Linked DNA regions of Xenopus tropicalis. The protein of the gene in region 4 interacts with the protein of the main gene of each other region in a pairwise test. Links are inferred from orthologs where the notes say so. Each region holds a gene or a part of one and is shown on either strand. Other genes may lie near its edges. The genes, in order: coq8a, gad2, cacfd1 and tmem159.

Region 1 (5,922 bases), on a different chromosome or scaffold from region 4:
CCATGATCTAATATTTATCATCAAATATTTTTAGTGCAGGGCAGATACTGTGCCACTGTGACAGAATGCTCTGTTATACAGATCGCAAGAATCTCAGCCATAAAGCAGGGTAGGACTGCTGCTTACAATGGGGGGGATCAGATAGGATCTGTGCCACTGTGACAGAATGCTCTGTTATACAGATCGCAAGAATCTCAGCCATAAAGCAGGGCAGGACTGCTGCTTACAATGGGAGGGATCAGATAGGATCTGTGCCACTGTGACAGAATGCTCTGTTATACAGATAGCTAGAATCTCAGCCATAAAGCAGGGCAGGACTGCTGCTTACAATGGGAGGGATCAGATAGGATCTGTGCCACTGTGACAGAATGCTCTGTTATACAGATAGCTAGAATCTCAGCCATAAAGCAGGGCAGGACTGCTGCTTACAATGGGAGGGATCAGATAGGATCTGTGCCACTGTGACAGAATGCTCTGTTATACAGATAGCTAGAATCTCAGCCATAAAGCAGGGAGGACTGCTGCTTAAACTCCCCTAGATAAATATGAAATTGACAGACCGTATAAGAAACTAGTACATGGTTTCCAACCATAAATGCAAACTTCAGCTTTTAATGACAGTGCCATAAATTACTGACCGTGACCACAGTAAATAACGATAGCAGGTACTGTTTAATTAACGGGTGAATAAATCTTGTCACCAGCCAAGGCTTCCCCCCCCCCCCCCCCCCACTAGGCCTTTACATAGAGATAATGACATATATGCCCCAGATATCCAGCAGTGCTACCTAGAAAACCAGGTAACTACGAACGCCTCACCCTGGCACCTTGCTCAACAGCTTCTCCTTATAAACACCAACCGCACCCCTTCCCAGCAGGCACAGCGGCACTTTACCTGCAAGCAGCCTTCTGCCAATACGCACTAGTGACGCTTTGTTTTTAATCCGACTAGCCAGCAACCTGCTGCACAGGAGTCACATACATTAACAGGGATCTCTAGTTATTTGAAAAGAAAGTAAAGGACAAGTCAACACAGAACATAAGAAAAGAAAGCAAAATTCTAAGCAACTTTGCAATAGACATTCATCACAAATTCGTAATGGTTTTTGAGTTATTTGTATATATAATTGATATTAGAAGTAATGTTTGTCCTTTTCCCTCTTGAAACAGTGTAACACAAGGCAGCAGCCTGACAGACCTGACTCGCTGGGGGAGACTGACCCCTGAAACAGTGTAACACAAGGAGCAGCCTGACAGACCTGACTCGCTGGGGGAGACTGACCCCTGAAACAGTGTAACACAAGGCAGCAGCCTGACAGACCTGACTCACTGGGGGAGACCGACCCCTGAAACAGAGTAACACAAGGCAGCAGCCTGACAGACCTGACTCACTGGGGGAGACTGACCCCTGAAACAGAGTAACACAAGGCAGCAGCCTGACAGACCTGACTCACTGGGGGAGACCGACCCCTGAAACAGTGTAACACAAGGCAGCAGCCTGACAGACCTGACTCGCTGGAGGAGACCGACCCCTGAAACAATGTAACACAAGGCAGCAGCCTGACAGACCTGACTCGCTGGGGGAGACCGACCCCTGAAACAGTGTAACACAAGGCAGCAGCCTGACAGACCTGACTCGCTGGGGGAGACCGACCCCTGAAACAATGTAACACAAGGCAGCACCCTGACAGACCTGACTCGCTGGGGGAGACTGACCCCTGAAACAATGTAACACAAGGCAGCAGCCTGACAGACCTGACTCGCTGGGGGAGACTGACCCCTGAAACAGTGTAACACAAGGCAGCAGCCTGACAGACCTGACTCCCTGGGGGGAGACCGACCTTTGCAACAATGTATAAAAAGTAACAACCAGGAGTTCAGCAAATGCTGCTCTCGATAGCAATTACATTTACAGGTAACTATTAAAACACTGAAAAATAATAACTCCATATTAGAATAATGTTTCCTTTTATTAGGCAAAAACTTATTTGTGGGGTTAACATGTCCTTTAAATTGCAAGCAACTTTCAATATAAATTAACAATATTAGGTTTGAAACGTATTTGAAAATGCAGGGTAAACTAGCAGAGAGACTGAGAAAAGCAAGTTTAGAAAGGCTGAGGAACCAACCCCACGGCTTAATGTTTAAGCAAAACAAAAGGAATGCGCGGGGTTAAATATTGATTAATATTTGATTAAAGACTCTCACATGGGAGAAACATTTCAGCTGCTTTACTCAGCACCAATAGAGTATTTGTTTGCATGCACGGCTGTTTGTGACTACTGAGAATATATAGCAATAATGAAAGGGAAATATCCGACTCTGAAGGAGATTTGCACACGAGGAGCATTAGGTCCCGCTGGCCGCTGTGCTGCACACTCACACCCACTTACTCACAGCCAAGGGAACACAAGCGCCTTTCCATATGTTCAGCCTGGGCTGCACGCTGGGCACAGACATAACGACCAAGCGCAACAAATGCAGCCGCACACACTGTGACCCCTGACACTATCAGAGGGTGCAGCTGGCAATGCGCTTGGGTTATAGGGTCCCTCGCACTAATACCATATGGAACACGGGGGGGGGACAATAGATCGTTAGGCACAAGGCTTCATTGGCCTTTCTGTATTGCAATGGCCGACTGAGAGCCCCCAATAAACTGCCAGTTCATGTGCCCTTGATCAATAGCCACTCACTGGGCCCTGTTTCCCCAGTAGCAGCCCTGGACCCCCCCCCCCCCCTTAGCTTACCTACATTAGCTACTTACCCCCTAATTACTCAGAACTGATGCCTAAATCCGGGGGCTGGTCACTGCCATGGACCCAAGAGCTTACTGACCCGCTCTACTATCCCACACATACATATACACACACACACATATACACACACACACGCAGTTATTTGCCCCTGGGAGAAACGCGGCCCATCTCACATACAGCTTGCAATTAACCCCTGCTTTCCCTCACACATGCCCTAACTTGCCCCTTGCCTACTCACCCCATGCCTATTTCCCCGATTACTTGCCCCCCTCACATATGCCCCAGTTACTTGCCCCCCTCACATATGCCCCAGTTACTTGCCCCCCTCACATATGCCCCAGTTACTTGCCCCCCCCACATATGCCCCAGTTACTTGCCCCCCTCACATATGCCCCAGTTACTTGCCCCCCTCACATATGCCCCAGTTACTTGCCCCTACCTCCCCACAAACACCAATTCCTTGCCCCCTGCCTACTCACATCAACCCCAAATACTTACCAATCCTTCATCTCACAAATGCCCCTAATTACTTGCCCCCCCACACACATTCCTCCTGTTATTCCCCCCCACATATGCCCCAGTTACTTGCCCCCGCCAATTATTTGCCCCTACCTCCCCAATTCCTTGCCCCCTGCCTACTAACAGAGGAGCCTTGCTTCTCACACTTGCCCCCTGCTACCCCACACTTGCCCCCTGCTACCCCACACTTGCCCCCTGCTACCCCACATACACCCTATACCCCTAATGATGCGCCCCAAGTTCTCACACACCCCTTACAGTCCCATTCACATGTCCCTGTTTCCTCACATAGTCCCCAGTGACCTGCCCCTATATTGGGACGAGTTCCCCTTTAAGCTGGCGGCTTGATCTCCCCGTTAGCAGCCCAGAATATACGGGGTGCCAGACGGGACATTACAATGAGACAGCGGACAAACTTGCCCACACACAGCTGAGGCGCCTCAGGCCCGCCCCGCACAGCGCTACGGAGAGCCCCAGTACCTGCCTGGGCGCCGCTAGCCGTGCTGGAAGCCCCGGGGAGTCGGTGCCGCGGTTCCTCTCGCTGCTTCTCAGTCTCACACGCGGTCCGGACTGTTTACCAGCAGCGCGCACCCATCCTACCAGCGCACGCTGTCCCGCCCACACTCACGCCTTCCTCCGCCTCATTGGCTAATCAACTGAAAGCTGGCGTGTGATTTGTCCTTGCAGCTGTCAGTCAGTCGCGTTAGTCAAATGCAGAAGGGGAACAGAATGTGGGTGAGGCCAATCAGCCTTCAATAACACGAGGTACAGCCAATAGGAAGGCGCGTTGGGCGGGTCTCCCAGGTGCTGCGTTAGAAACATCAACATGTTGTGCAGTTTGGCCTGTCCGCTGGCCCCGCCCCGACTCTTTGCTGAGGTATAGCGTGTTATGTGCAGCTCCCTTGGTATTGCAAGGGGCCCACCTTAGCTTTGTTACTGGCGATAGAGTATATTATATACAGTGTCCATGGTATAGCAGGGGGCTCACGCCCACCTTAGCTTTGTTACAGGGATAGAGTATATTATATACAGTGTCCATGGTATAGCAAGGGGCCCACGCCCACTTTAGCTTTGTTACAGGGATATAGTATATTATATACAGTGTCCATGGTTTAGTATGGGGCCCACCTAAACTTTATTACTGGGGATAGAGTATATTATATACAGTGTCCATGGTATAGCAAGGGGCCCACGCCCACTTTAGCTTTGTTACAGGGATATAGTATATTATATACAGTGTCCATGGTTTAGTATGGGGCCCACCTAAACTTTATTACTGGGGATAGAGTATATTATATACAGTGTCCATGGTATAGTATGGGGCCCACGCCCACTTTAGCTTTGTTACAGGGATATAGTATATTATATACAGTGTCCATGGTTTAGTATGGGGCCCACGCCCACTTTAGCTTTGTTACAGGGATAAAGTATATTATATACAGTGTCCATGGTTTAGTATGGGGCCCACGCCCACTTTAGCTTTGTTACAGGGATAAAGTATATTATATACAGTGTCCATGGTATAGTATGGGGCCCACGCCCACTGTAGCTTTGTTACAGGGATATAGTATATTATATACAGTGTCCATGGTATAGTATGGGGCCCACGCCCACTGTAGCTTTGTTACAGGGATATAGTATATTATATACAGTGTCCATGGTATAGTATGGGGCCCACGCCCACTGTAGCTTTGTTACAGGGATATAGTATATTATATACAGTGTCCATGGTTTAGTATGGGGCCCACGCCCACTGTAGCTTTGTTACAGGGATATAGTATATTATATACAGTGTCCATGGTTTAGTATGGGGCCCACGCCCACTGTAGCTTTGTTACAGGGATATAGTATATTATATACAGTGTCCATGGTATAGTATGGGGCCCACGCCCACTTTAGCTTTGTTACAGGGATATAGTATATTATATACAGTGTCCATGGTATAGTATGGGGCCCACTCCCACTTTAGCTTTGTTACAGGGATATTGTATATTATATACAGTGTCCATGGTATAGTATGGGGCCCACTCCCACTTTAGCTTTGTTACAGGGATATAGTATATTATATACAGTGTCCATGGTATAGTATGGGGCCCACGCCCACTTTAGCTTTGTTACAGGGATATAGTATATTATATACAGTGTCCATGGTATAGTATGGGCCCACTCCCACTTTAGCTTTGTTACAGGGATATTGTATATTATATACAGTGTCCATGGTATAGTATGGGGCCCACGCCCACTTTAGCTTTGTTACGGGGATATAGTATATTATATACAGTGTCCATGGTATAGTATGGGGCCCACGCCCACTTTAGCTTTGTTACAGGGATATAGTATATTATATACAGTTTCCATGGTATAGTATGGGCCCACGCCCACTTTAGCTTTGTTACAGGGATATAGTATATTATATACAGTGTCCATGGTATAGTATGGGGCCCACGCCCACTTTAGCTTTGTTACAGGGATATAGTATATTATATACAGTGTCCATGGTATAGCAAGGGGCCCACGCCCACTTTAGCTTTGTTACAGGGATATAGTATATTATATACAGTGTCCATGGTATAGCACAGGCCCACGCCCACTTTAGCTTTGTTACAGGGATAAAGTATATTATATACAGTGTCCATGGTATAGT
Region 2 (5,844 bases), on a different chromosome or scaffold from region 4:
TGGACCTGTCGAAAGTTTGCACGACATATTGCAGTAAAACGTCTATCACGTCCTGCAGGAAAGTCATCGTTACCCCTTCCCCGTTTTTAGAAGGGAGCAGGTCTGGAAAACAAAATTCGGAGGCGAAATATTAAAACAAATATATATATTTTTCCTACAAAATAATTAGAAAACAAACGAAGCTGCGCGTTTTTCACAGATCGCGGTGCGATTTTCACACAGATCAAAACTACAGTCGCTCTTGTGTTTACACTTCCGAATCGCCAGGTTATTATTCGCTCCCTTGGACTTGTTAGTCGCCCTTTGGGGTTTGACATATTTTCCTGAGCTTGGGATAAACGAATGCAACACTTCAAGTCCGATAAGATGCGTCGCATCAAATCTATCAGCTGTGTAGTCGCTTCCCCTAATCTCCCCTGTTAGATTTTATCTGCTGGGCGAAAGGAATCTCAGCGGGATTAACAAATATTCAGAACCGAACGGGACAAAGTAGATGAACCGAGTGTGTCTTTTAAAACTATGTTAACAATTCTGTTAATGTAGTAACATAGCAATAATTATTATTCGACATTTTTTTTATCTGTGTGTGTGTGTATATATATATATATATATATATATAAATTCATAAATATCTATCTATCTATCTATCGATCTATCTATCTATCTATCTATCTATATATATATATATATATATATATATATATATATATAAATATATATAATGGCTTTCCATTAGCGTCCTAGGTGTAAGGATGGTCAGATAGACAGGTAGATAGATGATAGATAGATAGATAGATAGATGATGGACAGATAGATAGATGATAAATAGATTATAGACTGAGGATAGATGATAGATAGATACAGTATATAGAAGATAGATAGATAGATAGATAGATAAATAGAAATAGATAGTGTTAGATGCGATAAATATAGATAGATTTGTAGATTAATTACAGAGACCTTAATGATTAGAGGCATCTAAAATATATATAGATGATAGAGATAGATCGATAAATAAATAAATAGAATAATTATAAAGAGAGAAACGGATATATATATATATATAGTATGGAGAGATAAAAGGATATAAACAGGCAGGCAGACAGACAAAAAGGTACATAGATAGATGGATTTGATAGATTAATTAGAGAGATGAACGAATAGACATATAGATTATCGAGAGATAAACTGATATATGAAGATAATTTATAGATAGATTAATTATAAAGAGAGAAATGGATAGAGATATATGGATCATAGAGAGATACTAGGATTTAAACAGATAATAGACAGATAGATAAACGATAAGCAGACAGACAGACAGACAGACAGTTAGTACTGGGGATGGGCACGTACCTGTAGAGTATAATAAGGAGAAATTGGCTTCTCCCTTGCGGCAGCCACAAGCCTTTGTGTCACAGTTACATGCCATTCCCCTCTCCCCTGAGCCCAGCTCATCCTTCTCATTCTTGCCCACAGAGCCCGGAGCTCTCTCTCCCTCTCCATAGAGTAAAGCTGCCAGGGAACAGAAAGGGGTCACATTGGCACCAAAACACAAAATATCATTGGAAAGAACAGCAACAGAATGTTTCCCATATTTTCCAATACGAATCCATATTCATACACAACACGAATACTGACACAAACACTGTGTATATACGATTTATATGTATCGATTTCGTTCTGAGTTCATTTACTCACAACACAATTTCGAGCTGATTCCTCCTGTAAACTTCTGGGCGACCTGGCACCAAGCCTTGGCTGAAACAGACACAAAGAGCGAAATGATACCGACAGTAACGCAGGGAGAGTAACTGTACTGATCCGGAATATTAAACAGCAAATAGCGGGTGTTACAGACAAGACTATGCGCCATGCTACATTTAGCGCTCATTTACCAAATCCTCCTTATTTGGGGCATTAAACGATTACAGAGAAGGGTCTGTTGTTAGTGAAAATGTCTATAAAAATATAGAGCGTTAAATATTCCTTCCCAAGCCACAATAATAGGGGTAATTAAGTCTATACATTAAGAGGACTGCTGTGTAGATAATGGGAAGTTAATAAGAGAATTCCCCATTCTATAGACTGAGATAAATTGTGGTTGTTTCCCATTTCTTCAGTGGGCCGATGAGCTTACACTCCAGCATAGGGTGACCTGATCAGGGACACATCTAATGAATACATGTTGCAGGGCAGTGCGTTTGAATGAAACTGCAATCTGTTCAGCCCTACTAGCTGGATCTTTTAGATCTGTCCCTGAATGTGCAAGTGATCCGGTCTCCCTACTCCAACAACCATTGCCCATTCAGGGGTCACCGACCCCGGTTCATCCCTAGACGGACATGTCAGTATCCCATTACCTGTACCGGGGTTTTCAGCTTCTTTATTCCCTTCTTCTGCCCCGAAGGGCCAAAATCCGGAGCCAGGAGAAGCCATCCGAGTGCCCGATCTCACAGCCCCGAAGTGAGAAGCCAACTGACAGCGAGGTGGTGGCTGCAAAATGGCTTGGACCGGAGCATAGAAATCAGCAGCAGATGGAGCCCCCAGAGCAGCAGAGGAGAAAAGCAAGAGCCGGGGGGATCGGGCAGGTATAGGGCAGCAGATGGAGAGAAACAAGAGCCGGAGGGCCGGGCAGGTATAGGGCAGCAGAGGAGAGAAGCAAGAGCCGGGGGGCCGGGCAGTTATAGGGCAGCAGAGGAGAGAAGCAAGAGCCGGAGGGCCGGGCAGGTATAGAGCAGCAGAGGAGAGAAGCAAGAGCCGGAGGGCCGGGCAGGTATAGGGCAGCAGAGGAGAGAAACAAGAGCCGGAGGGCCGGGCAGGTATAGAGCAGCAGAGGAGAGAAGCAAGAGCCGGAGGGCCGGGCAGGTATAGGGCAGCAGAGGAGAGAAGCAAGAGCCGGAGGGCCGGGCAGCTATAGGGCAGCAGAGGAGAGAAGCAAGAGCCGGAGGGCCGGGCAGGTATAGGGCAGCAGAGGAGAGAAGCAAGAGCCGGAGGGCCGGGCAGGTATAGGGCAGCAGATGGAGCCCTTAGAGCAGCAGAGGAGAGAAACAAGAGCCGGAGGGCCGGGCAGGTGGCAGTAGGGCTGAGGGGCTGGAACTCTCCGCGGTGCTGAAAGCTGAAACTGCTCCTTCTCTCAAGCAGATCCCAATGTACTCCCACTGGCAGCCGCTATCTGCCCTCCCTGATCGCTCCCACCTACCTATTGGGCTGGCAGATTGCAGCGGATCTCAGAGGGGCACACACACACACTCAATGGGAGACCGAAACAGATCACAGATGACTCATAGGGGAAGACGCTTTTGCATCACACGCCTTGAATAATCGCTTGTAGCAGCGACTGCATTAACCGCCGGGGCAGCAGTGAATCAGCCTTACCTGGTTATAAGCGCTTTACTAGCAGCGTTAATGGGCGTCTGTATATTTCCTATTGCTCAGTAGTTACATGAGCCTCACTTTTTCCTTTCGGATGAAGCCATAACAAGTCTTTTTAATTTGTGACCGCAGTGGATTTAAACCGGTGCCTTGGGACTTGGGCTACTTAGGGCTATTTAGTACATAGTGATGGCTGCTTAGTGAGCAGGAGGCTCCCCAGGGGCCCCCCAACCTCTCACATTACAATAGTCCTGGCTCTGTGCTCACGGTGCGGAACATTAGCTCATCCAGCCACATAAATGGAAAAGCAGCCACTGTCCTTCTGTTTCCCTGTATTTGGGAACATTCGCCAAAGGGGTTTCTGTGGCATTGCTTGTGCCAAGCCTTTTATATTCATATACATTACTCTAACCTAGTGTATAATTATATATATATATATAAATACTGTCAGGAACAGGGTATGGTGCTATGTACTATAACTAATTCCTCTCCTGCTTGAGCTGTATGTATATGGGCTCACATTATCTCTTATCCTCTCTTTCTTTTCATCTCACACACAATTATGTCTTTTTTCCCCCAATTTCTCTCTAATTTTTAAGAAAGCCATGCAATTCTATTGGGTTTAAGCATTAATGGGGCAGTTGCTGCTTCTGGCTTTGGTGCCTTTCTTGGTGTCAAAAATAATAATAATTTGTGTTGTCTTTCTCCCTTACCAAAGTGGATGTAGGATATGTATATGTATTTGTATGGATTTAAACCTATAGATGCTACAATTCTGTTGAGATTGTATTTACAAAAATAAGATCAGAATACAAATGTAATGTATATTACATATATATATATTTTTTTTTTTTTAATTTTTTAATTATTTTTTTTGTAACAGAAAATATTATATTATATATTAAGGAACATATTATGGATACTAGAACATATAAAGGATAAGAGTTCCCCCAACATCATGTATGTGGAAGCTGAAAATGCCAGGAGCAGACTTTATTAGAAACGTCACGTAGGGATCATTTGTGCAGTTTCAAGCTGGGCGAGCAGCAGAGCGTGGGATTCAAGGCTAAAACAGATTTATACACTCAGTTCGAGATGGGGCCCCGCGGGCACTTCTGCCATTCCTCTGCCCCACTGGCTCTACACATGATGGAACAGGGATGGAGGGAGATAGACGGAAGCGCAGGCAGGGCTTGGGGTTTAGAAAGGGAGTGGGTGTCAAGGACTAACCTCTTTCAGTGCTACAAGAAACACATATTAGTTAATTTGATTTAATAGATTTTTTGTTATGATATATTAAAAGAGCACTACATTTTTCTACATTTAAAAAAAGCATTACACATACATTAAATCTAAAGATAAATAGCAAACTACATTGGCAGGCAGACTGGTAGAGATAGACAGACAGGCAGACAGATAGATATCTCCCTATATTGCTTATCTCACTATACTCTATATACTATACTATCTGTCTGTCTGTCTATCTATCTATCTATCTATCTATCTATCTATCTATCTATCTATTATCTATCTATCTATCTATCTATCATCTATCTATCTATCATCTATCTGTCTAACATCTGCCAGTATCCCTTTGTCATTCCATAATCTGTATGTCTCTATCCATTTATCTCTCTATGATAATTCTGTCTGTCTGTCAATCTATCTGTCTCTTTGTCTCTATAAAGATAAAGAGCGAGCTACATGGGCAGACAAGACATTAGAGATAGACAGACAGGTATATAGGTAGATAGAGGGACAGACAGACAGATAGATAGATAGACAGACAGACAGACAGACAGATAGACAGACAGACAGACAGACAGACAGACAGACAGACAGACAGATAGACAGACAGACAGACAGACAGACAGATAGATAGATAGATAGATAGAGAGATTGATAGATAGATAGATAGATAGATAGATAGATGATAGATAGACATACAGACAGATAGATGATAGATAGATGATAGATAGATGATAGATAGATAGATAGATAGATAGATGATAGATAGATAGATAGATAGATAGATAGATGATAGATAGATAGATAGATAGATGATAGATAGATAGATAGATAGATAGATGATAGATAGATAGATAGATACATAGATAGATACATAGATAGATAGATAGATGATAGATAGATAGATAGATAGATAGACAGATAGATAGATAGATAGATAGATACATAGATAGATAGATAGATAGATGATAGATAGATATAAATACATTAACATGAACTAATTCTCATGTGCTTGGTGTTTTACAGTAGCTTTTTATTTTTGCCCCCCCCCCCCACCCAAAATGTGTTTTTTTTGTCCCATTGGGCCTGTAACAAAGCAGCCCCAAGGAGGTAATTATAGGAATTAATTCATAATGGATTCTCTGCAGATGGTAAGGACCTCTGAGTGATGCTGTCGCAAACCGTTCGGCTGATATGACTCCATTATTTTCTCGACCAACC
Region 3 (5,743 bases), on a different chromosome or scaffold from region 4:
ACCCTGCACCTCCCCCAGTCCAACCCCGGGCCCTGCACCCCCCAGTCCGACCCTGCACCTCCCCCAATCTGACCCTGTGCCCCCCAGTCCGACCCTGCGCCCCCCAATCCGACCCTGCGCCCCCCAGTCCGACCCTGCACCTCCCCCAATCCGACCCTGTGCCCCCCAGTCCGACCCTGCACCTCCCCCAATCTGACCCTGCGCCCCCCAGTCCGACCCTGCACCTCCCCCAATCCGACCCTGTGCCCCCCAGTCCGACCCTGCACCTCCCCCAATCTGACCCTGCGCCCCCCAGTCCGACCCTGCACCTCCCCCAGTCCAACCCCGGGCCCTGCACCCCCCAGTCCGACCCTGCACCTCCCCCAATCTGACCCTGTGCCCCCCAGTCCGACCCTGCGCCCCCCAATCCGACCCTGCGCCCCCCAGTCCGACCCTGCACCTCCCCCAATCCGACCCTGTGCCCCCCAGTCCGACCCTGCACCTCCCCAATCTGACCCTGCGCCCCCCAGTCCGACCCTGCACCTCCCCCAATCCGACCCTGTGCCCCCCAGTCCGACCCTGCACCTCCCCCAATCCGACCCTGTGCCCCCCAGTCCGACCCTGCACCTCCCCCAATCTGACCCTGCGCCCCCCAGTCCGACCCTGCACCTCCCCCAATCCGACCCTGTGCCCCCCAGTCCGACCCTGCACCTCCCCCAATCTGACCCTGCGCCCCCCAGTCCGACCCTGCACCTCCCCCAGTCCGACCCTGCACCTCCCCCAATCTGACCCTGTGCCCCCCAGTCCGACCCTGCGCCCCCAATCCGACCCTGCGCCCCCCAGTCCGACCCTGCACCTCCCCCAATCTGACCCTGCGCCCCCCAGTCCGACCCTGCACCTCCCCCAGTCCAACCCCGGGCCCTGCACCCCCCAGTCCGACCCTGCACCTCCCCCAATCTGACCCTGTGCCCCCCAGTCCGACCCTGCGCCCCCCAATCCGACCCTGCGCCCCCAGTCTGACCCTGCACCTCCCCCAATCCGACCCTGTGCCCCCCAGTCCGACCCTGCACCTCCCCCAATCTGACCCTGCGCCCCCCAGTCCGACCCTGCACCTCCCCCAATCCGACCCTGTGCCCCCCAGTCCGACCCTGCACCTCCCCCAATCTGACCCTGCGCCCCCCAGTCCGACCCTGCACCTCCCCCAGTCCAACCCCGGGCCCTGCACCCCCCAGTCCGACCCTGCACCTCCCCCAATCTGACCCTGTGCCCCCCAGTCCGACCCTGCGCCCCCCAATCCGACCCTGCGCCCCCCAGTCCGACCCTGCGCCCCCCCAGTCCGACCCTGCGCCCCCCCAGTCGGACCCTGCGCCCCCCCAGTCCGACCCTGCGCCCCCCCAGTCGGACCCTGCGCCCCCCAGTCCGACCCTGCGCCCCCCCAGTTCGACCCTGAGCCCCCCAATCCGACCCTGCGCCCCCCAGTCCGACCCTGCGCCCCCCCAGTCCGACCCTGCGCCCCCCCAGTCCGACCCTGCGCCCCCCCAGTCCGACCCTGCGTCCAACTAAAAATCAGGCAGAAATCGGTTCCTTATTATTTGCTTTTCCCCCTCAGATTCGGGACATGAAATCGCTCAAATCCACGGGATTCCATGGGAACCACTTGTTCTACTGGGAGTCGGCGGGGAGTCGGGCGGAAATAGAATTTCATGGCGATTTCTCTAAGGACCGAGTCAGTTTCCGGGCGCAGTACTGGGCGCGGGCACCGAGGCTACAGGGCAGGGGGCGCCCCCCGGTGGAATGACGCCCGATACACCATCGCCACGGGAACCTATATAGTCACTGTAATCGCTCATTATCTGTTTGTTTCTAAAGGGAAAGCTTAAATATATTATTTATATATGCGCCTCCGTGTCCCCGTTATTACTGACCCGCTATATCCCACAGCGCCGGGGGTGTACGTGGGGAATACAGGGTAAACGGATTATATATCTATGGGTTCTGTCATTTCTGGCACTAAACAAGGATATGAAGCCACATTAGCACTTCCTGATCCAGAAGAACTAATAAATGTAATCACCAGTCCACTGAAAAGCCCCTGATAATAAGCTGCTCAGAGGGCGCTGCTTATAGACAGTTCAGAGGCAGATAAGGGGTTAACCAATTGCCCTGTATATATATATATATATAGTAACTGTTACACTGTAGGGGAGAGAAGCTACAGGGGAAGGACAGAAGGAATAAATAAGCCGAAAATCCCTTAATGGGAGAGTTTTTACCTCAGGGAAAGGCCCGCCCACCTGGGGCAGAGGGACACGCCCACACAACGGGACGCTATGGCGGGGGGCGGGCTCACTGCGATGACCTCATTGCCAGGGTCCCGCCTCTCTGCCAAGAGGTTTCCCTCCCACAATGCAGTGCGGGCCGGAGTGACGTGGAGTCCCTGGGTCAGACCGGCGGAGAAGGAGCCCGGATAGCGGGGCGGTGAGTGCGGCGGGGAGGGTGCGAGGGGCTCCCGGTACCGGACTCCGGTTCTACTGCAACTTCTCTGGGCTTGGGGGGCGGGGCGTAACGGTACCGAGTGTCACAGCAGAACAAAGGGCTGGGGGGGGGAGGGGTTACAGAACAATAGGGGGGGGCACACAGGGCAGGGGTATATAGCACAATGGGGGGGTCACACAGGGCAGGGGTATATAGCACAATGGGGGGGGGGGCACACAGGGAAGGGGTATATAGCACAATGGGGGGGTCACACAGGGCAGGGGTATATAGCACAATGGGGGGGTCACACAGGGCAGGGGTATATAGCACAATGGGGGGGCACACAGGGCAGGGGTATATAGCACAATGGGGGGGCACACAGGGAAGGGGTATATAGCACAATGGGGGGGCACACAGGGCAGGGGTATATAGCACAATGGGGGGGCACACAGGGAAGGGGTATATAGCACAATTGGGGGGCACACAGGGCAGGGGTATATAGCACAATGGGGGGGCACACAGGGCAGGGGTATATAGCACAATGGGGGGGCACACAGGGCAGGGGTATATAGCACAATGGGGGGGCACACAGGGCAGGGGTATATAGCACAATAGGGGGGCACACAGGGAAGGGGTATATAGCACAATGGGGGGGTCACACAGGGCAGGGGTATATAGCACAATGGGGGGGCACACAGGGCAGGGGTATATAGCACAATAGGGGGGCACACAGGGAAGGGGTATATAGCACAATGGGGGGGGCACACAGGGCAGGGGTATATAGCACAATGGGGGGGTCACACAGGGCAGGGGTATATAGCACAATGGGGGGGGCACACAGGGCAGGGGTATATAGCACAATAGGGGGGCACACAGGGAAGGGGTATATAGCACAATGGGGGGGTCACACAGGGCAGGGGTATATAGCACAATAGGGGGGCACACAGGGAAGGGGTATATAGCACAATGGGGGGGTCACACAGGGCAGGGGTATATAGCACAATGGGGGGGCACACAGGGCAGGGGTATATAGCACAATGGGGGGGCACACAGGGAAAGGGGTATATAGCACAATGGGGGGGGCACACAGGGCAGGGGTATATAGCACAATGGGGGGGGCACACAGGGCAGGGGTATATAGCACAATGGGGGGGGCACACAGGGCAGGGGTATATAGCACAATGGGGGGGGCACACAGGGCAGGGGTATATAGCACAATGGGGGGGCACACAGGGCAGGGGTATATAGCACAATGGGGGGGTCACACAGGGCAGGGGTATATAGCACAATGGGGGGGGGTCACACAGGGCAGGGGTATATAGCACAATAGGGGGGCACACAGGGAAGGGGTATATAGCACAATGGGGGGGCACACAGGGCAGGGGTATATAGCACAATGGGGGGGCACACAGGGCAGGGGTATATAGCACAATGGGGGGGGCACACAGGGCAGGGGTATATAGCACAATGGGGGGGTCACACAGGGCAGGGGTATATAGCACAATGGGGGGGCACACAGGGAAGGGGTATATAGCACAATGGGGGGGCACACAGGGCAGGGGTATATAGCACAATGGGGGGGCACACAGGGCAGGGGTATATAGCACAATGGGGGGGGGTCACAGGGCAGGGGTATATAGCACAATGGGGGGGCACACAGGGCAGGGGTATATAGCACAATGGGGGGGGTCACAGGGCAGGGGTATATAGCACAATGGGGGGGGTCACACAGGGCAGGGGTATATAGCACAATGGGGGGGGGTCACAGGGCAGGGGTATATAGCACAATGGGGGGGCACACAGGGCAGGGGTATATAGCACAATGGGGGGGGTCACAGGGCAGGGGTATATAGCACAATGGGGGGGGGTCACAGGGCAGGGGTATATAGCACAATGGGGGGGCACACAGGGCAGGGGTATATAGCACAATGGGGGGGGTCACACAGGGAAGGGGTATATAGCACAATGGGGGGGGTCACACAGGGAAGGGGTATATAGCACAATGGGGGGGTCACACAGGGCAGGGGTATATAGCACAATGGGGGGGGCACACAGGGCAGGGGTATATAGCACAATGGGGGGGGGTCACACAGGGCAGGGGTATATAGCACAATGGGGGGGGCACACAGGGCAGGGGTATATAGCACAATGGGGGGGCACACAGGGAAAGGGGTATATAGCACAATGGGGGGGGCACACAGGGCAGGGGTATATAGCACAATGGGGGGGCACACAGGGAAAGGGGTATATAGCACAATGGGGGGGGCACACAGGGAAGGGGTATATAGCACAATGGGGGGGGTCACACAGGGAAGGGGTATATAGCACAATGGGGGGGTCACACAGGGAAGGGGTATATAGCACAATGGGGGGGGCACACAGGGCAGGGGTATATAGCACAATGGGGGGGGTCACACAGGGCAGGGGTATATAGCACAATGGGGGGGCACACAGGGCAGGGGTATATAGCACAATGGGGGGGCACACAGGGAAAGGGGTATATAGCACAATGGGGGGGGGCACACAGGGCAGGGGTATATAGCACAATGGGGGGGTCACACAGGGCAGGGGTATATAGCACAATGGGGGGGGCACACAGGGCAGGGGTATATAGCACAATGGGGGGTTACACAGGGAAGGGGTATATAGCACAATGGGGGGGCACACAGGGCAGGGGTATATAGCACAATGGGGGGGCACACAGGGCAGGGGTATATAGCACAATGGGGGGTTACACAGGGAAGGGGTATATAGCACAATGGGGGGGCACACAGGGCAGGGGTATATAGCACAATGGGGGGGCACACAGGGAAGGGGTATATAGCACAATGGGGGGTCACACAGGGCAGGGGTATATAGCACAATGGGGGGGGGGCACACAGGGAAGGGGTATATAGCACAATGGAGGGTCACACAGGGCAGAAGATATATAGCACATTGTTGGGGGGGGTTACACAGGAGTAGAATATGTATAGATGGGGGGGGCACAGTGATTAGTGAGGATAGGAGTGAATGGTATAGTAGGGGGGCTCATAGAACAGGCAGTAATAGTCCAGGTGTGAAAAGGGGGGGGTGCAGTAACACGGGGCAATAAGGGAGTGGGGGGGGGGGTGTATCGCTCAGGCATGGGGTGGATATTACACTATGGGGCCGGGGCGTGGGGTACCAAATGAGCTGAACTTGGCTCAATAGAGGGAAGGTGGGGGGACCCCCGGAGAGGGGTTGGGGGGCAGCTGAACCCACGTGTGTAACTGTATCGCTTGTGTTTCTGTGCCACTAGGAGGCGCCT
Region 4 (5,961 bases):
CATTTTTTCAAGCATGGATTTGCGGCGAATTCTTTTGCAAAATGGGCACAAAAATTCACAGCAGACAAAATTGTTGTGCGTGTCAGAAAAATTCTGTGCGCAACATTTCTTTTTACACGTGCCATTTTTGCTGTTTTGAAAATTTGCAGTGCGAATTTTATGGCGAAGTAAATCCGAACAGATTTGCTCATCACTATTTATGTGCATTAACCCTTTGGTGGTGGTGTGTTGTGAATAGGATGCAATACATCAAACTTCCAAATCCAGGATCCTATTGATAAAGCCATTGTAATGGCAAAACAATCGTCGAGGTGGTAACAAATGCCATCAAGAGGTGGGCCCCCTCTCTTTTTCCCTGGTATGGTTGGATGGACACGCAGATTATATACTTGTTCCAGAGGATCCTTGGACAAATCTTATGCTGAGATAAATTAGCGCACTACCGCAGTCACTGGAGTTTGGCCTGGCGGAGTTCTCAAACCGATGTAAACAATATTTGTATTCGCTGATGCGGGCGTATTATGCACTTTAATTTATCTGAGCACCTTGCATAGGAACTGGATATTTATATAGTGAATATCTACCATTTGAACAGATGTGAACTGAATACATTTGTCACAAATAGGATCCTGGATTCGGAAGTCAGATGTACTGCATGTAATTCACAACACACCGCCACCAAAGGGTTAATGAACATTAATTAATGAACAGAATGTGATATCCCAATATATTTAATCATCATTCATTTATGTATTTGTGGACTTAAACATCCCAACTTAGACTTGTTGTCATGTTGGGGGTTGTAGTTCGCGTTATGTGAATACATAATATGTTTATTGGGTTACATCACTTTTTGGGCCCCTCCAGTATTGGCTAATGTTTGTTGGTTTTATGGGTTAGGGTTTTTTAATCATGCTGCAGGATTGGACAATAGTTAGTTATACTTACAGAAAACAGTTTCCCTTATTTGGGGAGGCATGGGGTCTAATTTTTTCTAGTTGGTAAAACTTTTAACTAAATGTATAAAGTAATTTGGATATAAATGTTATTGGTGAGCACAAAATATTGCAAAATATTGGGGGCAGCCAGACTGGGCACTTGCATATCAACCTAATCTAAAGTTAGGGCAGTGTGGATGTGAAGCTATGCTGTACCCTGATAGCCTTTTGTTCCCGGTCTGTTTTGCCCTACTAACTATTCACATCTTATACTTGCTGGTGGGTTGGGCCCTGGGCAATCATGTAGGTATCTAGAGAGACAGATGATAGATTGATCACAATGCAATTTGAATTTGAAAATAAATATATGATATAATGTTATATATACAGTAGGCCTGATCATAGGCAGCAGAAGATGGTTTTGGGGCGGGGGGGCCTAAAGGGGAGTATATGTGGTGTGCTATGCGCGTATGGTGAAAAAATTAAGCCATGCCCACTTTCCAAAGCCACACCCACTGTCCGAAGTCACACCCTCAATAACACATGTCTTTACAAGCCTTAAGGTAAAATGTAGAAAAAACGAATGTTGCTCCAGTTCTAATAACCCACAACAAACTGATATTAAGATTACTTTAAGTACAGCTGGCTGGTTGCTTGCTTTGTATTGCTGAAGCAAACTGAAACAAACTCTGCACTAGTTATATTTCCAACCCTGAGGGCTGAAACTTCTGAGAATCATTTTTAATGCTGTATGGTGGGAATTGTCACTAACAGCATGGTGGAAGGGATGAAAAAGATGTCACATTTCCACAGGTGTTAAGATCTAGGATGTAATGGAAGCATTACTGCCAGGCAGACAGCTGGTGTAAACAGTCAATGTAATGTCCAGCATGTTATAGTGTAAGATAAATGGGCAATGCAATCACCATCATATAATACAATGAAATCAGTAGATCCTGCACCCCAAAACAATATAAAATAAAAAGGTAACTCCAAATACATTATACAGTGAACAGTTCTGGTACAACAATACAATGAAATCAGTAGATCCTGCACCCCAAAACAATATAAAATAAAAAGGTAACTCCAAATACATTATACAGTGAACAGTTCTGGTACAACAATACAATGAAATCAGTAGATCCTGCACCCCAAAACAATATAAAATAAAAAAGTAACTCCAAATACATTATACAGTGAACAGTTCTGGTACAACAAGTGGATTATACAGTAAAAAGCAATTGGTACTGTCAATCCAAGGTACATTACATAAACTGAAACAAATGGCTACTAGCAGCAAAAGTATATTATATACAATGATAGGTCCTGGGTAATGATACCCAAGTACATTATATACAGTAAGAGGCATCGCAAGTACATTATATATATATATGAAGGGAAAGTGTTTACGGACATGCAAGAACATAGACAAAATGGGTACTGTCCCACCAAACATATTACACACAGTAAAAGCAGTGGGTACTGACACCTTAACTACATTATATAAAATGATGGGCAGGGTGTTCTGGCACCGCAAGAGATTATATACAGTGAAAGGCAATGAGCCCATATGTTTGATTTAAAAAAAAAACCAACATTGACTGCAGTGATAAGGCTGATTCAAACTGGTCACCATGCAACTTTGCCTCCTGCCAGTTAGATTATAAAGTAACATAAAGTGATACGGTGTACCAGCAAGGGTGTTGCTGGCACCCAACTGTCCCAAAGCACAGGCCCACAACTTTGTTTCTCCTTTGTGTAGTTATATTATATCACAGTTAACTTATGGCAAATCATCAGGACAGCTGACCCCTCCCCAACAGTGAATGTGGATATCTATGTACACTAATCAGCATAGCATTATAATGGGGTGGGTCACCTTTACATTAACTTTTTACTACATTATAGAATGTCCTATTCCTAGAAAAATTGCAATTGGTCTTCATTTTTTATAGTTTTTAAACATTTGCCTTTGTCTTTGTAGATTGAAAGCTCTTTTGGGCAGGGCCCTCTTCACCTCTTGTATCGGTTATTGATTGCTTTATATGTTACTCTGTATGTCCAATGTATGAAACCCACTTATTGTACAGCGCTGCGGGATATGTTGGCGCTTTATAAATAAATGTTAATGTAATGTAATGTCTTCTGCCTCTTGCTAACAGAGGTCGCTGACCCCAGCAGTTAAAAAAACTAGGTTCTAGGTGGCACTAATGTGACAAATCTATTGGCAGCAAAATACCAAAATGACTTTCCTTCTCCTTTAAAGGAACACTGTCATGGGAAAGCCTTTGGCCAGTCCCATAGATAATGTTATGCTTTGGGTTCATTAGGGGTCCCTGGCAGAGGTGGGGGTGGAACAGAGAAATGTTTTAACCCTACATAATAATAACAACAGAATGTGCTCATTTATTTCATTCCTGTATCTGTGCAGAGTTATTATGCCCCCTTGCTCCTGGCAAACGACTGCAGGTTTACTAGTAAAAACCAGAACTAATCAGCAATGAAGTTGCACACAAAAGCTGCCTTTCCTGCTCCACTGTCACTAAAACACACACACAGCTCAATTGGTGCCACATACTTGTAACTTGAAACGCTTTCCTTCGGGTGAACTTGCCTTTTCTCTGTCTCTGCTACACCCAGTCCCCTCCCTTTCCCCTGTGCTCTCTCCAGGACTGCCCATCTAAAAGAGCAAAAACTAATTGGATCAAAAAATGATTGACATTCACTGTGACTAATCAGAGGCAAGGAAGCTTCTGCATTTGGCTTTTCTCTTGCAGCAGTAGCAGCACTTAAATAAACGTATAGGATTTGCTTGTAACAGCGGAGTTAGGTTAGCGGAAATGGGTGCGGGTTGGCATTCAATCTTTTTCCCAGTTTAGTCCTATTCCCTGCCAGAAGTTTTAACGCCCCCCCCCCCCATCTCCGTTCCAAAGCCTATGCGGCCTGATGGCGTTGTTCTGTACCACTTGGGGATCTTCTGACAGAGCAGTCCGGTGTGCTTGTATTGTATCCTATCAAGGAAAACACACATATAATGTGAATACAAAGAACTAGGGTTACCTAGCCTCAGGTTTATGGGGGCGGGGTTAGCCAGTAGTTCAGTCTGGCTGATTTTCAGTGCTGATCTGCAGCACCTAATGGAAGCTCAGTTATCAAATTGTGAATTCGAACTTTTACCCACTAATAAATGTGCTTCTAAAAATCCCATAGGACTGAATAGAAAGAATTTATCTGTGGTGACCTCTAATTTCACACATACATAAATCTACCTCTAAGAGTAGTGAAATAAAAAAATAGCTGCAGGGATTTAAAGGAGACATATCCTATAAAAATTATGAATGTACCAATGAATTATACTCCTCTAGATATAGAAGGATTGTGCTTAAAAAGTTGTGTTTCTGACTGATTTATTGTGAAATTCCACAAAAACCCCACTAGCCCCGCCCATCTGTTCCACTTCCTGCTGCCTGAATTCTCTGGATGAGCTGGGGAGCCTCTGTAGGATAGGAACCAATCAGCAGCTAGGCTGACCTGATAGGGAACTGAAGCCTGTCTGTGCTTGTGTGAGCGCAGGGCTGTGATTTGCTATCCCCCTCCTACTCTGCTTCTGGCAGGGACCGTTAGGACACGCCCACTCTTCATTTCACACTGGACGTAGAAGTGATACGATCTATAGGAAGCTCCAATAAAGGGGCCATTTTTACAGAGAGGATTAATTTTTAGCACAAAGTGAAACCAGCAGCGTATATTATTCACAATTGCTTACAAAATAAGCGTTTTTCCCATTTATCCAATATGTCTCCTTTAATATGGAAACCTGAAGCACTGACCAAGGAATTATTATTATTATTAACATTTATTTATAAAGCGCCAACATATTCAGAGGGTTAGTACTCTTGGTGTGATTCACCATTAGGGAATCAAGTTTAGTGTAGCAGAGAAACCCTAGGCAGTCTACTGGGTAAGTAGAGTGAGTACTACTTCAGCTGTGACAAAATAGGACTGTGTGTGTGGCAAAATAAAGTAATTTTATTCTGCACCCTTAAGTTCTGGTCAACAAACTGATTTCAGCTTTTAAGGAGTTATACTTTTTGAGTTATTTTTTGTTGCTTTGGAAGTTTTTTTTATGGCAAAATGTGTTAGATATTTCCTTCTTACAATACATGTTAAGAAAGGGACAGATCACATTATATTTTAACACTTTAATGTTATTTTTTCCCAGGTGGCAATATTAGTTAGTAGAAACTAAAGTTTGTAGTATTACAGCCACATTAGCAGCCACATTACAGGAGTAGATCACGAGCAGGGTACATAATGTACTCCCTATAGTGTATTTTTGCTGTTAGCCTGGAAGATTGATGGTGTCTTCTTCCTCCTAATTAAAGCACACTAATCTAGCTGTTTTTTTTTCTGGCAGAAAACGCCCAAGCGATCAATTGTTACTGAATATCATTTGACCTTTAGGAAAAGTCTAAGGCAGCTCAATTAATAGACCTGATGAGATAGGGATTAAGAGGTTAGAAGAAGATAATGGCTGAAATCATAGAATACAGTCTAAAGTTGGAGGGTTGAAAGATGAATGGGAAAAACTTTTTTACAGACGCAGTGACAGATACATGGAAGAGCCTTCTAGCCAGCGGAAGATATAACTTTAATTTTAGGCAGCTTTTGTTGTTCTTGTGCAGCCTCCAGCTGGTAGGTTGATCCACGACCCTTGCCACAGAACAATTTAGAGCCATTGGCAGTAAAAGTTTACAACAAATATGATTTTAAAGGGGAAATATAGCATTTGTGAAAACACTATCATCATCAGCCAATGATACTGGGAATTGACTGGCATTCTATAATTCAAATTACTGGGTGCTGCCATTTTTCTTATACTGGCTGGGAAAGCAGAAAGTGAAAAGGCTGGCTGGTGCTAAATAAATTTTTAAGGAAACTTTCAATAAAGCAGTTCAAAAGGTAGCTTTTAAACATTCCTTCTAATTTTAATGTGGTATAATGAGAGCTTTGGGTTATGGCA

The links.
Region 1: the proteins of tmem159 (region 4) and coq8a interact in binary tests that used the Homo sapiens proteins (3 or more experiments, as listed by UniProt). The two-hybrid records come from large-scale screens. The link is inferred for Xenopus tropicalis from reciprocal best matches to the Homo sapiens genes LDAF1 and COQ8A.
Region 2: the proteins of tmem159 (region 4) and gad2 interact in binary tests that used the Homo sapiens proteins (3 or more experiments, as listed by UniProt). The two-hybrid records come from large-scale screens. The link is inferred for Xenopus tropicalis from reciprocal best matches to the Homo sapiens genes LDAF1 and GAD2.
Region 3: the proteins of tmem159 (region 4) and cacfd1 interact in binary tests that used the Homo sapiens proteins (3 or more experiments, as listed by UniProt). The two-hybrid records come from large-scale screens. The link is inferred for Xenopus tropicalis from reciprocal best matches to the Homo sapiens genes LDAF1 and CACFD1.

The regions. Positions count from the first base shown.
Region 1 is NC_030681.2:7,740,967-7,746,888, forward strand, and holds the start of coq8a (atypical kinase COQ8A, mitochondrial), read right to left. Parts: upstream 3,907-5,922; 5' UTR 3,763-3,906; exon of another isoform or gene 3,759-3,762; intron 1-3,758. UniProt on the Homo sapiens protein: Atypical kinase involved in the biosynthesis of coenzyme Q, also named ubiquinone, an essential lipid-soluble electron transporter for aerobic cellular respiration.
Region 2 is NC_030682.2:25,292,582-25,298,425, forward strand, and holds the start of gad2 (glutamate decarboxylase 2), read right to left. Parts: upstream 3,344-5,844; 5' UTR 2,440-3,343; coding exon 2,364-2,439; intron 1,762-2,363; coding exon 1,702-1,761; intron 1,516-1,701; coding exon 1,357-1,515; intron 103-1,356; coding exon 1-102. UniProt on the Homo sapiens protein: Catalyzes the production of GABA.
Region 3 is NC_030684.2:5,078,390-5,084,132, forward strand, and holds the start of cacfd1 (calcium channel flower homolog), read left to right. Parts: upstream 1-2,351; 5' UTR 2,352-2,457; intron 2,458-5,734; 5' UTR 5,735-5,743. Other genes in the region: adamts13 (A disintegrin and metalloproteinase with thrombospondin motifs 13), read left to right, coding at 1,589-1,777. UniProt on the Homo sapiens protein: Transmembrane protein which mediates synaptic endocytosis and fitness-based cell culling.
Region 4 is NC_030685.2:24,679,017-24,684,977, reverse strand, and holds the start of tmem159 (promethin), read right to left. Parts: upstream 3,629-5,961; 5' UTR 3,553-3,628; exon of another isoform or gene 3,517-3,552; intron 1-3,516. UniProt on the Homo sapiens protein: Plays an important role in the formation of lipid droplets (LD) which are storage organelles at the center of lipid and energy homeostasis. In association with BSCL2/seipin, defines the sites of LD formation in the endoplasmic reticulum.